4 linked regions of the Saccharomyces cerevisiae S288C genome follow. Changing the gene in region 4 together with the main gene of any one other region gives a genetic interaction. Each region holds a gene or a part of one and is shown on either strand. Other genes may lie near its edges. The genes, in order: HAM1, TGL4, AMD1 and APT2.

The links.
Region 1: of APT2 (region 4) and HAM1, changing one suppresses a phenotype caused by changing the other (phenotypic suppression), as found in Saccharomyces cerevisiae (one study listed by BioGRID).
Region 2: mutations in APT2 (region 4) and TGL4 together harm fitness more than expected from each alone (negative genetic interaction), as found in Saccharomyces cerevisiae (2 studies listed by BioGRID).
Region 3: of APT2 (region 4) and AMD1, extra expression of one rescues a mutant of the other (dosage rescue), as found in Saccharomyces cerevisiae (one study listed by BioGRID).

The regions. Positions count from the first base shown.
Region 1 is NC_001142.9:568,290-571,232, forward strand, and holds HAM1 (nucleoside triphosphate pyrophosphohydrolase HAM1), read right to left. Parts: upstream 1,111-2,943; coding exon 517-1,110; downstream 1-516. Other genes in the region: RFC2 (replication factor C subunit 2), read left to right, coding at 1-415; LIA1 (deoxyhypusine monooxygenase), read right to left, coding at 1,332-2,309; GTPase NPA3, read right to left, coding at 2,678-2,943. UniProt on the Saccharomyces cerevisiae protein: Pyrophosphatase that hydrolyzes the non-canonical purine nucleotides inosine triphosphate (ITP), deoxyinosine triphosphate (dITP) as well as 2'-deoxy-N-6-hydroxylaminopurine triphosphate (dHAPTP) and 5-bromodeoxyuridine 5'-triphosphate (BrdUTP) to their respective monophosphate derivatives.
Region 2 is NC_001143.9:605,116-610,197, forward strand, and holds TGL4 (triacylglycerol lipase), read right to left. Parts: upstream 3,251-5,082; coding exon 518-3,250; downstream 1-517. Other genes in the region: TVP38 (Tvp38p), read right to left, coding at 1-303; PXL1 (Pxl1p), read left to right, coding at 3,831-5,082. UniProt on the Saccharomyces cerevisiae protein: Lipid particle-localized triacylglycerol (TAG) lipase. The lipid droplet/particle is a lipid storage compartment which serves as a depot of energy and building blocks for membrane lipid biosynthesis.
Region 3 is NC_001145.3:205,915-210,741, reverse strand, and holds AMD1 (AMP deaminase), read left to right. Parts: upstream 1-1,881; coding exon 1,882-4,314; downstream 4,315-4,827. Other genes in the region: SRC1 (Src1p), read right to left, coding at 1-1,217; CGI121 (Cgi121p), read right to left, coding at 4,449-4,538, 4,645-4,827. UniProt on the Saccharomyces cerevisiae protein: AMP deaminase plays a critical role in energy metabolism.
Region 4 is NC_001136.10:1,343,950-1,346,940, reverse strand, and holds APT2 (adenine phosphoribosyltransferase APT2), read left to right. Parts: upstream 1-1,878; coding exon 1,879-2,424; downstream 2,425-2,991. Other genes in the region: SSN2 (Ssn2p), read left to right, coding at 1-1,265; histone methyltransferase DOT1, read right to left, coding at 2,700-2,991. UniProt on the Saccharomyces cerevisiae protein: Catalyzes a salvage reaction resulting in the formation of AMP, that is energically less costly than de novo synthesis. May lack catalytic activity.

The sequences.
Region 1 (2,943 bases), on a different chromosome or scaffold from region 4:
TTTGGAAAGGATCTTGGACATTTCGGCAGGTGACTTGAGAAGAGGCATTACATTATTACAATCCGCTTCCAAGGGGGCGCAATACTTGGGTGATGGTAAAAACATAACTTCTACCCAAGTGGAAGAATTAGCTGGTGTGGTACCTCATGACATTCTAATAGAAATTGTTGAAAAAGTCAAAAGTGGTGATTTTGATGAGATTAAGAAATACGTCAATACGTTTATGAAAAGCGGTTGGTCTGCTGCGTCAGTAGTTAACCAACTACATGAATATTACATCACCAACGATAACTTTGATACGAACTTCAAAAATCAAATATCTTGGTTGCTGTTTACTACGGATTCCAGATTAAACAACGGAACGAACGAGCACATCCAATTATTAAACTTATTGGTTAAAATATCCCAACTCTAATATACAGGCATCTTTATATAATTGAATATAGAGGCGACATAAAGTAAGAATAAAAAAAAAAAAATCTATCCATAATTCCTCTTATCTTCTCAGCACATCACCTAAAAGTCATTTTGATACAAGTACTCTTTAAACTGAGCGAAGGCTTTACCACGATGAGAAATAGCATTCTTTGCGTCTTTGCTCATCTCTGCGTAAGTCAGTCCATGACTATCAAAAGGTTCAAAAATTGAATCCCAGCCGAATGTAGTGGGTCCCCGGCTTGGAACGATCTTGCCTCTTGTAATACCTTGAAAGAAGTGATATTCACCCCGAGAATCAGCAAAACAAATGGTGGTAACTGCTTCAGCGTTTTTATTTTCAAAGGGTTCCAACATTTTCACAATTTTTTCCAATCCCATGCTCTTTAAAAACCATTTTATATAAGCACCTGGTAGACCGTTAAATTCGTCAAATCTCAACGCAGTGTCTTCCACAAACACTGGCTTACCCTTACCCAAGGCCGCAACAGCTTGCTTTCCCTTAGCTAACGCAATGGCATTCAGATCCGTGTCCTGCAATTCTTCCAGGTCTAAGGCCTCATTGATTAAGTGGATGGTTTTGTTGTTGTTGTCGACCTCTTGAGTCAAAATCGACTGCACTTCCTTTAACTTGTTGGCATTGCCAGTGACAAATACAATTTCGTTGTTGCTCATTCTGCTATCGTTCGTTTTTAGATATCTCTATGTGAGTGTTTCCTATGCTTTGAAGACCAGTGTTGAAAGCTGAAGCTCGAGAGAACGGTTTCGAAAATAAATAATTTTTTTGCTATTTGATACATTTGTATATATAACGGAAATGGCGGGTTTTGAAAAGTATAAAATACAAGATTATACAATGATTATTGTTACTATCATTATTGATGATGCTGATTCTTCTAATTAGCAGTTGGAGCATATTCTAGTTCGTTGCTGTTTTCGTAATCATACATATCTAGCGCAACGATACAAGATTCTCTGACGACATCGACTTCATCGTTGAGGTAAGATTTCAAGACGTCGACAACTTCTGGAGAAGCAATGGCACCCAAGGCTTCAGCAGCTTCATGCCTAACCATTGGAGCTTCTTCCTTTCTGCCCAAAACTTCAATCAAACTTGGGACAGCAGCCGGACTACCTATTTGACCGAAGACGTAGGCGATTTCATGCTTGAAAAGGGAGGATTCTGCACTGAAACCAGTGGCCAAGGCCAGGATTGCTTCATCAGTACCGATATCTCTCAGTCTGAACATGGCTCTGTATCTTTGGAACAAAGGTTGCTTAGGATCATTCAATAAGGCCTGTAGTTCTGGGATGGTAGCATCCTTTTCTAATGGTAGAGGTGGGGCTGGGTCAATACTCGAGTATAGGGATTGTTGCAAGTTTTCCTTATCCTTGGCACCTCCATGGGTCCAGTTGATTCTGTTAATGGCCAGTTCACAGGTTTCTCTCACAGCAACGTGTGGATCCTCCTTAGCAGCCTTATTTAGGTCATCCAACGAATCCTTGTCACCTAGGGCACCCAAAGCCTCAGCGGCTTCGTGTCTCACCATTGGTTCTTGATTTTGATCTAACATAACGTGTCTTAAAGTTGGAGCAGCGTCCAAGTTCTTGGTTTGACCCAACACGTAGGCCACTTCGTGCTTCAACAACTCAGACTTGTCATTGACGAAGGATTCGGCAATGTATTCGATGGCCTTTTTGGCTTCCTCTGGCTTAGTGGCAAATTCTTCAGCAACAGTCTTTAAGTTGAACAGAGCTCTAAATCTGTTGGCCAAAACTGTTTTGCCGGACTTGTTGACTAAGATGTCCCTTAGTTGCTCTAGAGTGCATTCATCGACGTTTTCTTGGAAATGTTTTTCAAAGTTAGTAGACATGTTTTTTTTTTTCTTTCTTGCGTGGTATGTTAGAAGGACTACAGTTTATCCTAACCTAAACCTAGAGCTACCGTCAAATATACACGTGTATTCACTGGATTTGCCTTATGTAATTTATATGATAAAAACTTTTCAGCTCATCGAGAAAAATTTTCTTTCCTCCCACGCAGGATAGAGAAAAAAAAAAAATTTTTTTTTTTTCTTGTTTCTCACTGCATTCTACAGGGATTTCTGTGGAAGGATTACCTCTATTGTTCAAAAGATAATAAACGTGGGAGTTTATCTGACGTTCGTCTTTGCAATTCCATTGTCTTTTTTTTTCTCTGCGGGTCGAATGATCGCCGAACCAAAGGACTATACGTAGTTATTTAGTTTCTAATATACTTCGCGATATTTTCTGCAGTCTCGCTACTGGCCGTTTTCCCTACTTGTTGCATAGCTTCCTGATATCTCCTTTGTAGGTCTGGAGCAGAGTTCTCGTTGACCTCACCTTTTGTTCTTTCTTCGCCTGGGAACGTGTATTCTCTCTCAACGCCTTCGTCCTCATCCCTATCCACAAGACCATCATTGGCATCCTCTTCGAGGTCGCTAATGGCATCTATGCTGTCGTTGTCGCTGGCTGCAGCGCTGCTCT
Region 2 (5,082 bases), on a different chromosome or scaffold from region 4:
GAGGAGGACAATGATAATCTGTTGCCATAAGCGTAGTGAATAAAAATAAAACTGTAATTTTTGAACATTCTTCCTGATATTATGCATCAATCTCTCTCTAGGGGACATATTATAAATGTCTAAAAAATCATCATCATTAACATTTACTTCGTCATTGAATGACAATCCAGCATTAGTACCAACCCTTTGTCCATTATTACTATTTGGCATGATATCGTTGTCAAAGTCTTCGAAATAGCCATCAAATTCATCATCCTCCCCTTGGCCCATATTGGCATTTCCTGCTTCGTAAGACTGACTCATTTGTGTAACCAATATCTTTCTTCCACCATAATAATATTTTCAAATATGTTGAAGGTATTGTTTTAGTAAAGTGGCTTTTTTTCTTAGTGCAGCTCGAGAGAAAACAATGATTTCGATTTCCGCTTTGAAAATGATATGAATGAGAAAGGCCATTCGAATAAATACATAGATGAAAAAGAATATCTAGAGGATATATAAGCAAGCCCGTGTTTTCTTATTGAGTAAAACTGGTGGTGCTTTTGTGCTGCGTTGAAGAAGAAGGCCTCGATCGAAACGGTGAGCTCTTTGTAGCTTGAGAAGGGGGTCTTCCATCAATGCTATGACGCCTGAAATTGCCCGCTAAATCACTATGAATCATTGCGTCTGAATCGAAGTTACTTATCAGTCTCAATGTAGGATGGTCTTCTTTATCCGAATCTGTGTATAATATGTTGCTACTGCTGACCCATTTTTTGTTCATATGCCTCAAGTATCTACTCTTTCGGCCAAAATGCAATTTCTTGTCTACCATGGCAGGTGTTTCAATGCTGGCAGAATGTGGGATAAGTTCATGGCTTTCCGGGTCATAGGTCTTGGCATCCATAGGAAACATTAGCCGGCCCATACTTGTTTTTTTCTGCAGAATTGGCGGTGGGTGTCCATTGATTTTGCTGGATTGCCTCAACATCCTTGATGTGGGAGAAGCAACTGAAAATGAAAAGGATTTGGCTGGTCGCCTTGAAGTTGAAATAGTATCTGATTTCCTTCTTTGGTGACGCGGATTGAGAGAAGCGGACGTAATGGAATACCGCGGTCTAAACCCGGAAGGTGACCGCCCATATGTGCTTGCATTCTCACGTAACAATAGCAAAGAGTTTGTCGATTCTGATTCTAATAAGTTGTCATCTAAAACATTGGAAATATGATTGTCACCCTTGGTTGGAGTCCTAGTTAGCAATGTTGAATTTTCTGGGTTTTTGGACTCATCTGACGTTTGCTCTGGAGCTTTAATTAATCCAATGACTGAATCAGCAAATTGGAAGGGGGTTTTTAAAGAGGAGGTGACAATCATCCTACCTTTGATATAAGAAATCGCCTTATCCAGAGCAAATTCCTGGCCACAGTGATTTTGAATAATGGAAACCTTGGGCCACGTAGCTTTTGCACCATTGGTGATTTCCCTTAATAAAAATTCTTTTGTTGGGTTTGACAACAGCTCCTTTATTCTAAAAAGCATACACATGTCGGGCAAAATAGTGATGTCACCAGAATATTGTTGAGATAATACCGATCTCAGTTTTGTAAGCGCGTTTTTGGCAATTCCCATCTCACTTCCAATTTCTAGAATATGAATAGCTTCATTGGCCATAAAATTGTATATACTTGATAAGTTTTGCTTTAATCTTGCACTAAATTCGTCCTCAATTTCCCCGCCAACACAGGATAGTGATAGTTTCAAAAAGGGAAATACGTGAATATTCACCTGGCATGCGATAATATGGTCTACATTAAACATTTCAGAAAGACGAGAAATGGGCAAGTCATTGTCCACAGAACCATCGACAAATTTGACCGAACTACTACCAGTCCATGGTTTCCTTTCTCCCGTTTTTGGATCTTTTTCGTAAAGTGGGCTCGAGGGGAAAATTCCCGGTAGTGAACATGATGCACATACGGCGGACCAAATCAGGACGTTTGGTGCAGTCAAATTATTCAGCAAGCGCGGTTGTTCAAATAAAGATGCCGGCGAAACGGTTATATTCAAAATTTTACCCGTTCTATTGTAAGCTTCCCTAAATGTCAAATCTCCCAAAAATTCTATCATTGTATTTACCAGATGCTTGTTATCAAACCACGTACCGTTTTTGAAGAACCTAGATATTTTTATTAACAAATTCTCGCTTTCACTTTTCTGTTTATCGTCTTTGAAAATGTTGAATTCTTTATCCAAAATATGATTTAGTAAAACCGGAATTTCTTCTTTGTGATGGACAGATAATATGCTTGCTACAATTGCACCAGCACTGCTACCACTAATCACTCTGGGTAATAAATCCAATTCAAATAGAGTACCAAGGACACCGATGTGGAAAAGACCAAAAGTTCCACCCCCACTGAGAACTAAAGCGGTACGACCAATATTTCTTCTCGTTTGTTGCAGTATACCCAAAAGGTAACTATCATCAAGATCAGACTCCATTAAAGATTCTAGCGCTAACCTAGACTCCATCATATACTCGTCAATTAAATATTTGGTGCCTACATGGGAGTGCCTATATAGGTTTACATTCCCCATATTTCCCAGGTTTCGTACCCAATTCGTCCTAATGATGTACAACAATTGAGCGTAATTCCTATTCAAGCGCTCCTCACGCATTCTAGATGTTAAATCTTTTATTAGCTTGTAATCATACAAGGGACTTTCCAATTTCTGCTTCCATTCTGTTTTCCCAGTGAGGTCATCCAATCTGGCGCCCGCAGAACACCATTCTTCAAATGACATCGCATGTTGCTTTTGTGAACAGACTTTGTCAATAAGAATGTCTCTTTCATAGTTTCCCACAAAAACGTTGTAAAGAAATGATTTGCATTTACTGGCTAAAGATGACCCTTGCCTTTCATCTTCGCCTTCGTCTGTCTCAACCATCTCGATATCATTATTTTCATTTTCTGTTACTGTCTCTTGGTCATCGTCAAGTTTATCCTCGTTTCCAGTATCCAGGTTGAAATTTACTTTGTTCGTAGTTTTGTTCTTGCCAGTTTGCAGTCTTTTACCAGCATCCTCCTCCACCCTTTCAACATCTGAATTATCCTTACTGGGCCTAATAAACTTGTTCTTCGGATTTAAAATAGGAATTATGTTCTGGGAAGTGCCCAGGATCTGTTCGTAATATTTTTCGATTAGTTGTTGCGTAACAAGGAGGGGCTTATTTTGTGTAGATGTAAGATCTGATATTTTGCTGCTCATTCAGACTTTTATTACATATACCTGTACTCCCTTCAATAATTATTACAGCGCTAATTTTTTTGATCAAATACTTGAATACAGGCCTCTTTTACGAGTACAATAATGACATAATGACAATTTGAATCAACCATACTTTATAATTGTGGTTTAGCGTTTCATAGTCGCAATTATCGTATAAGAGGGGTAATATGTCAGCCCTAGTTTACCCTACTTTTTTTAAACCCCTTAAGATCTTTTTTCCTTTTTTCTAATATTTAACCTACTAATATTGGTAAGTAAACCTAATGACTTTTTGAAGCGCCTAGCCCTATTTCTTTCGAAATTTTCAATTCGCGTCCTTTTTCAATTCCATGAATAATAGGAAACATGAAAAAATAAGTAAATAATAATAATAGAAAAGCTGGAGTGTTGCAAATTTAAGAGGTAGCCTTAAAATATATTTCTGCTGTGTTGAATATTTAATTTATACAGCTAGAATAGGATATTATAGCCGAATTTTTTTCAAGCTTCTTCAAAGCTTATAGTGAATAACGTAAGGGGAAAAACAAGAATAAATTTAGCAAAAGAAACGCTCAAGTCAATGTATAACTCAATCTACGGGTCCCCCTTCCCTAAAATAAATCCGAAGGTCCGCTACAAAACTGCTCTAGAAAGAGCAGGGTTTGACACTAAGCCGCGTAATCCGTTCAGTAGTCAGAGGAATGCTTCCACTGGAAGTTTACAAGCTTCCGTGAAGTCGCCGCCAATAACCCGTCAAAGAAATGTATCTGCCGCCCCATCTGTTCCGGTCACGATGAAGAGTGCGTATACGGCGTCTTCAAAGAGTGCTTATTCATCTGTAAAGGGCGAGTCTGACATTTATCCGCCTCCCGTATTGGAGAATAGCGAGAGGCGGAGTGTAACTCCTCCAAAGAATAGCAATTTTACGTCTTCGAGACCCAGTGACATATCTCGTTCTATTTCCAGGCCCAGCGAGCGTGCTTCGCAAGAGGATCCCTTCCGTTTTGAACGCGACTTAGACCGTCAGGCGGAACAATATGCTGCCTCTAGGCATACATGTAAATCACCTGCTAACAAGGAATTCCAAGCCGCAGATAACTTCCCCTTCAACTTCGAACAAGAAGATGCTGGTAATACTGAAAGGGAACAAGATTTGAGCCCTATTGAAAGAAGTTTCATGATGCTGACTCAAAATGACACTGCAAGCGTTGTAAATTCTATGAACCAAACCGATAACAGAGGTGTGCTCGACCAAAAACTCGGAAAAGAACAGCAAAAAGAGGAAAGTTCAATCGAATATGAAAGTGAAGGACAGCAGGAGGATGAGAATGATATTGAAAGCCTAAATTTTGAACCAGATCCTAAACTACAGATGAATCTTGAAAATGAACCACTTCAAGATGATTTTCCAGAAGCAAAACAAGAGGAAAAGAATACAGAACCTAAAATTCCGGAAATTAATGTTACGAGGGAAAGTAATACACCATCTTTAACCATGAACGCACTAGACTCTAAAATATATCCTGATGATAACTTTTCTGGCCTGGAATCTTCAAAGGAACAGAAATCACCTGGTGTGTCATCATCGTCAACAAAAGTTGAAGATTTAAGTCTTGATGGGTTAAATGAGAAACGTCTTTCAATAACTTCTTCAGAAAACGTGGAAACACCATACACTGCTACGAACCTCCAAGTCGAACAATTGATTGCTCAATTAGACGATGTTTCCCTATCTAGAAATGCAAAGCTCGATATGAACGGCAATTGCCTCAACGCAGTGGACAGAAAGGCTTCTAGATTCAAAAAGTCAAGCGCATATTTATCTGGGTATC
Region 3 (4,827 bases), on a different chromosome or scaffold from region 4:
CACTTTTCGACGTCTTTCTCTGTGGGTAATTGGGGAGTCTCGATCCTTGTAGGCACTAAAACTTCATCTTCATCCGATACCAAGTTACTACTATCTGTATCTATCATTTCGACCACATTATTGCTGGTATTACCCATAGGCTGATGAGGACCTGGCGTGGTGATCTCTGGAAGCAAGGGTGCTTCCGACTCTGAGCCAGAGCCTTCGGACGAAAACAAAGACGGTGTTCTTTCACTCTGAGAAGGTTCTTGCTGTTCCACTTCTGGAACCAGTATTGTAGATGGTACCTCCTTTTGAGGCAATTTATCCGCAAATGAGGCAGAAACTTTTAACTTACTCAAGGGTGTGCTATGGCCTGTTCCATTGGCAGTTCCGAGCTCTTTTGGATTGTGTCGTATGTTCGGTACAAATGGATCATTTTCCGTACCGCTTGAAGTCAACGAATCGTTAAAATTATCCATGCTTACTGGCTTTCTATTTGTGTTCTTTATTGGTGTTTTGACGGAAAGTTTTCCTAAAATGGCAGAGCCATTTCCATGCTCTTGGTTCAAATCACTCGTCTTACGCTTTTTTGCCTTCTGGTAATCCTGTTCAATTTCTGAATCTGATGATAGGAGGTTCAAATGCTTATTATCGATTTTATTTTCCTTTGAATTAGATTCAGACCAGTCGTCAGAATCAGGGTCTTTCCTTTTCTTACGAGTATCGGAATTTTGCTGGAAATCATTGGTGTCTGATTTGTTGGAGCTTGATGTTATCACATCATCCTCTTCATCGTCCACTTCATCGGTATCCGTTCCACTAGGTACAATTAAAGGATCGTCTTTTTTATCATTGTCATCATCATCATCATCATCATCATCATCATCATTACTTACATCATCCAGTATTCTATTCTTCTTAAACTGTTTGGCCATGGGGGAAGCAGATTTCTCCCTGCGAGCTCGTCTACTTCTACGAGGGGAAGCTATAGATGGGGAAGATGAGGGACGGTCCATTTTCACAATACCTTCATCGCTGGGCCGAACGTTCAGATACATTTTCCGTAACTGCGGGATCTGCGGTTTAACCTTTTCATCGAACAGCCCCACCAGCGCATTTTTCCTAGCATTAGATGGGAAATCGACATTATTTTCTACCAATATCCTCCTCAAAGTCGCAACTTTCATTGAATTCGGATCAAAACCGTCCTCTAAATACTCCAAGTCACTATTCATCGCGGCACTAACTGAGTACTGCTACCGTTCTACTGTTTGTTGTTCTGGCCTCTACGTTCACTCCGTATGGTCTCAGTCTACTATTAATAATGACTGAGGACTATTTCTCTTCCATGTATTCCGCATAGTATATTGACAGCTATACAAGTAGATCGATGTCCAGATTAGCCACCACAAATTGAAACCAAAACAAAAACAAAGGGGGCTTCCTAAAACAGTAATTTTGAGGGCTCTTTAAAACCCTTGATTTCCGTTCAGGGTGATCAATATATATATCCTAGTTATTTTATAGATGCCCTAACTTTATTTTTAGGGCACGTGGGGGTCTTCTCTTTTCTTTTTTCATTCCTTTTTCATCTTTTTTTTGCGCCTGGCGATGATGAGAAAGGAGTTCTAGTAGCACAAGGTTTAAAGGATATTATCAAAAAATAGATAAATTTTAAAAAAAAAAAAAAGGCATCTCTTGACGACTTTTCTTCTCTCTCTCTACAGGCAGAATTAGCAGCGTTTCTCGTATACTAGTCAATTATCGGATATTAATAGTATTTTTATTATAGTCTCCCTGCTATAGCCAATTTTGATTCAGCAAAACTCGATTGAACTGCTAGTACGCCAGATTAATAAATTATATAACAAATAAAAAGGGGGCATTCTAAAAAAAATTATGGACAATCAGGCTACACAGAGGCTTAACGACCTTTCTCTAGAACCAGCTCCTTCACACGATGAACAAGATGGTTCAGGACTAGTCATTGACATAGATCAAAGAAAGATTGGTGATGAACAAGCTGGTGTCGTAGTGGATGATGAGACACCCCCCTTAGAGCAGCAAGATTCACACGAAAGTTTAGCTGCTGATTCTCGGAATGCTAATTTCTCGTATCACGAGAATCAGCAGTTGTTGGAAAATGGCACCAAACAGTTGGCCCTAGATGAGCATGATTCTCACTCTGCCATCTTGGAGCAACCATCGCATTCTACCAATTGTAGCTCTTCCAACATAGCAGCGATGAATAAGGGCCATGACTCGGCAGACCATGCATCTCAAAATTCCGGGGGTAAACCGAGGACCTTGTCTGCTAGTGCTCAGCATATCTTGCCAGAGACGCTCAAGTCATTTGCCGGCGCTCCGGTAGTGAATAAGCAGGTACGTACCTCTGCCTCCTATAAAATGGGAATGTTGGCTGATGATGCTTCACAGCAGTTTCTTGATGATCCCTCTTCCGAGTTGATTGACTTGTATTCCAAAGTGGCAGAGTGTAGAAATTTGAGAGCCAAATATCAGACCATATCTGTGCAAAACGATGATCAAAACCCAAAAAATAAGCCAGGCTGGGTAGTCTATCCACCACCACCTAAACCTTCATACAACTCAGACACTAAGACTGTTGTGCCAGTAACAAACAAGCCGGATGCGGAAGTTTTCGATTTTACGAAATGTGAAATTCCTGGTGAGGATCCAGATTGGGAATTTACCCTCAACGATGACGACTCGTACGTGGTACACAGATCAGGTAAGACGGATGAGTTAATTGCTCAAATCCCTACCCTTCGTGACTACTATCTGGATCTAGAAAAAATGATTTCCATCTCATCAGACGGTCCCGCTAAATCATTTGCTTATAGAAGGCTGCAATACCTAGAAGCACGCTGGAATCTTTACTATCTCTTGAACGAATATCAAGAAACTAGCGTTTCCAAAAGAAACCCACACAGGGATTTTTATAATGTTAGGAAAGTGGACACTCACGTTCACCATTCTGCTTGTATGAACCAAAAGCACTTATTACGTTTCATTAAACACAAATTGAGACATTCCAAAGATGAAAAGGTTATTTTCAGGGACGGGAAACTACTAACTTTAGACGAAGTATTCCGTTCTTTGCATTTGACTGGATATGATTTATCCATCGATACTTTAGATATGCATGCACATAAGGATACATTCCACAGATTCGATAAATTCAACTTAAAATATAACCCTATCGGTGAATCTCGTCTCAGAGAAATTTTTTTGAAGACAAACAACTACATCAAGGGTACCTACTTGGCTGACATTACCAAACAAGTCATATTCGATTTAGAGAATTCAAAATACCAAAACTGTGAGTATAGAATTTCTGTTTATGGCAGGTCTCTCGATGAATGGGATAAACTAGCTAGCTGGGTGATTGACAACAAAGTTATTTCCCATAATGTTCGTTGGTTAGTCCAAATTCCGAGGTTATATGATATTTACAAGAAAACTGGCATTGTTCAAAGCTTCCAGGACATCTGTAAGAATCTGTTTCAGCCACTATTTGAAGTGACCAAAAATCCTCAGTCTCATCCAAAATTGCATGTATTTTTACAGAGAGTAATTGGGTTTGATTCTGTCGATGATGAATCCAAGGTTGATCGCCGCTTTCATAGGAAATATCCCAAGCCATCACTCTGGGAGGCTCCTCAAAACCCTCCTTATTCCTATTACCTGTACTATTTGTATTCAAATGTCGCGTCTTTGAATCAATGGAGGGCTAAGAGAGGGTTTAACACTTTGGTTTTGAGACCACATTGTGGTGAAGCCGGTGACCCCGAGCATCTCGTTTCAGCATATCTATTGGCACATGGTATATCACATGGTATTTTATTGAGGAAAGTTCCATTTGTTCAATACTTATACTATTTAGATCAGGTTGGTATCGCAATGTCACCCCTTTCTAATAACGCATTATTTTTGACCTATGATAAAAACCCATTTCCGAGATACTTTAAAAGAGGTTTGAATGTCTCACTATCCACAGATGATCCTTTACAATTCTCATATACCAGAGAACCATTAATCGAAGAATACTCAGTTGCAGCACAAATTTATAAATTGTCTAATGTAGATATGTGTGAATTGGCAAGAAATTCCGTGTTGCAAAGTGGGTGGGAAGCACAAATCAAAAAACATTGGATAGGGAAAGATTTTGACAAGAGTGGTGTTGAAGGTAACGATGTGGTTAGAACAAATGTTCCTGATATTAGAATTAACTACAGATACGATACATTATCAACTGAACTGGAATTAGTTAATCATTTTGCCAATTTCAAGAGAACCATTGAAGAAAAGTGATGGTTATACGCGCACATGTATATAAGGAGAACTTTTGGCAGTTCGATACACTGACTTCACGGAGAACAAATAATACTAATCTGAAAAATAATCAAAGAATTTTTTTTATAATTTTATCGTTAGATATCTCTTATCTACACACCCCTCAATTGAATAGCGTCTACCAAAGCTCTTGAGAGACCATTTACGTCTTGGGGCTTGAAATCATCACTTAATTTATAGATCTAATAGGTAAAAACAAAATAAAAGGAAAACAAAGGTGAAGTTAGTACAATGTGTTTCTGGTGAGGCTGTTGAAGTTTTTACCTCGAATTTATTATTAAAACATACTTTTCTTATGAGCGCTTCGTCATAAAATCTCGATAAATTGTCATCATTAAACTCGATCTCTTGTCCTTTTACTATAGAAGTCATAATCGTCCTCAATTGCTCTTTGTCTACATCGTCAGTATTAGTATGGAACTTAAGGCATATTAACTGTGACGAATCGTCTTTGATTCCGAATTTGAGGAA
Region 4 (2,991 bases):
TTGATAAAAACAAGTTACTGTTGTTAGCTGCGCAGATTGTTTCATACTGTTCTAATAATAAGAACTCCATCAAAAACGTGCCACCAATATTAATAATTTTACCCTTGGATAATGCAACTCTGACTGAATTAGTAGACAAGGCGAATATTTTTCAGGTGATCAAGAACGAAGTTTGTGCCAAGATGCCTAACATTGAACTATATTTGAAAGTTATTCCTATGGATTTCATTAGAAACGTACTGGTGACAGTGGATCAGTACGTCAACGTAGCAATTTCTATATATAACATGCTGCCGCCAAAATCTGTAAAGTTCACCCACATTGCGCATACGCTGCCGGAGAAAGTGAATTTCAGAACCATGCAGCAACAGCAAATGCAACAGCAACAGCAACAGCAACAGCAGCAGCAGAATAACAGTACAGGATCATCTTCTATAATATATTATGACTCGTACATCCACCTGGCATACTCGCGTAGTGTAGATAAAGAGTGGGTTTTTGCAGCTCTTTCAGATAGCTATGGACAAGGCAGCATGACGAAAACGTGGTACGTCGGGAATTCCAGAGGAAAATTTGACGACGCATGTAATCAAATATGGAATATCGCCCTAAATTTAGCGTCTAAAAAATTCGGAAAAATATGTCTAATTTTAACTAGATTGAATGGCATACTGCCGGATGATGAATTGATGAATTGGAGGAGACTTTCTGGTAGGAATATACATCTTGCTGTGGTGTGTGTGGATGACAACTCTAAAATCTCCTTCATAGATGAGGACAAATTGTACCCTAGTTTCAAGCCGATCTACAAAGACACTAGGTTTGGAGGACGCATGGATATGACCAGATTATACGACTATGAAATAAGGGATATAGACCAGGACATCCATGGAATAGTATTTCAGCACCCGTTCCCACTGGCACACTCACAGCATCGCTGTGCTATTAGGAGTGGTGCTTTGATCAAATTCAAAAAATGCGACGGTGATACGGTTTGGGACAAATTCGCAGTCAACCTTTTAAACTGTCCACATTCTGATAGTACACAATTGCTGGAAACCATCTTAGAAGAGTTTCGCAACCTGGCTGCTCTAAACGTGTGGTACGGTCTCTCTGATGGCGAAGATGGCCATATTCCATGGCATATCCTAGCCGTGAAAAAAATGATGAACACTCTTGTGCACACCAGAGTAAAAATTGCTAATACTTCCGCCGCTACTGTGCATACCGCTACTTCTTCATCAATTATTCTCTCGGATAAATAAACTTTTTCCGGCAACGTTTTCCTGCTCATCTGTAGCCCTATTTACCAGTTTTGGTTTTAGTATTATTCCGGGGTGTAAACCCAGAAGTCTATTTCTCCAGTCGGATTTATAAAAACAAAACCGGAAGCGGGGCGGTACGGCATTTTCACTGGTGATGCACGCCCAGCGTGTAGTCCGAGACAATTTCCACAGAACGCGAATGAGATTGCGTTTAAGGCTGTATTTTCAAGGCACACGAAGCGGCCACGTGGGTCTGCGATGGTGTGTTGATGATGTCAAGAATGGTATCATACTCCGTATAAGGTTATGTAATCGGAAGTCGCGATTCTTTTTCAATTTTTTCTTTTTATTTTTTTCCAGTTTTTTCGTCTCTGCGATGGAAAATTGTTGAAGTTCTCTTGATTAGCAAGTAGTTCTTACATCGCAGGAATCTTATGTTGCATAGCTCAATTTACAAAAATAACAAGGATAAATATATATATATACGCATATACTTTTTGGGTGTTAAAGTAAATTTTGCACCCGTTCATACCAATCGTTCAGATAATTTTCGCTCCTTAAAAAAAGAGAGTGCGTGTGTATATGCCTGTTCATTGCCTGTCCGCCTCTCATTATGTCTATTTCTGAATCTTACGCAAAGGAAATAAAAACTGCATTTAGGCAGTTCACTGACTTTCCCATAGAGGGTGAGCAATTTGAGGATTTTTTACCTATTATTGGCAACCCCACGCTATTCCAAAAGTTGGTACACACGTTCAAGACGCATTTAGAAGAAAAGTTCGGCAAAGAAAAGATCGACTTTATTGCAGGTATAGAAGCTAGAGGCCTTCTATTTGGGCCATCCCTAGCACTGGCATTGGGAGTTGGATTTGTTCCAATAAGGAGAGTTGGAAAATTGCCGGGTGAGTGTGCTTCTATAACATTCACAAAATTAGACCATGAAGAAATTTTTGAAATGCAGGTTGAAGCCATTCCCTTTGATTCCAACGTGGTTGTCGTGGATGATGTTCTCGCCACCGGTGGAACGGCATATGCTGCGGGCGACCTTATCAGACAAGTGGGTGCTCATATTCTGGAATATGACTTTGTGCTAGTGTTAGATAGTCTACATGGTGAGGAGAAATTATCTGCTCCTATTTTTTCCATATTGCACTCCTGATTTAAATTTGTTCTCTGCCTCCTCCTTCAATTATTTTCCTTTCCTTCGCATATTGCTACTTTTTAGCTTGAACTTCTTTTGTTAATATAAACTGGTACTTTACTTTTTAGGTACCTGGTCCACGGCGCCTTATCCTTCTTTTAATTCATATTATTACCTACTCTTATTCTCTCCCTTTCTATTTTTTTATTTTTTGATTTTTATAAGTTACACTTGTGTACATGTTATTTCTACTTAGTTATTCATACTCATCGTTAAAAGCCGTTCAAAGTGCCTCATCTGGTATACTTCACCGGCGTACCTCTGTTCCTCCTACCTCTTGCAGCAGGGCTGAATAAACTTTCGTCCACATCCTCCATCACTGTTGATATATAATACTCTCCGCCACTATGCGTCCATGAAACACTATCCTCCTTAAGATCATACCTTTGCACCTTTAATCTATTGAAGATGTTCTCAACATTGTAGAAGTTGATCTGATAAGTGAGGCTTCTTAAACTTTTCAAACTTATGATCTTACATCCAACTTTTGCCGTTTGTAGTATCTTTTCGACTTTTTTATTCAAA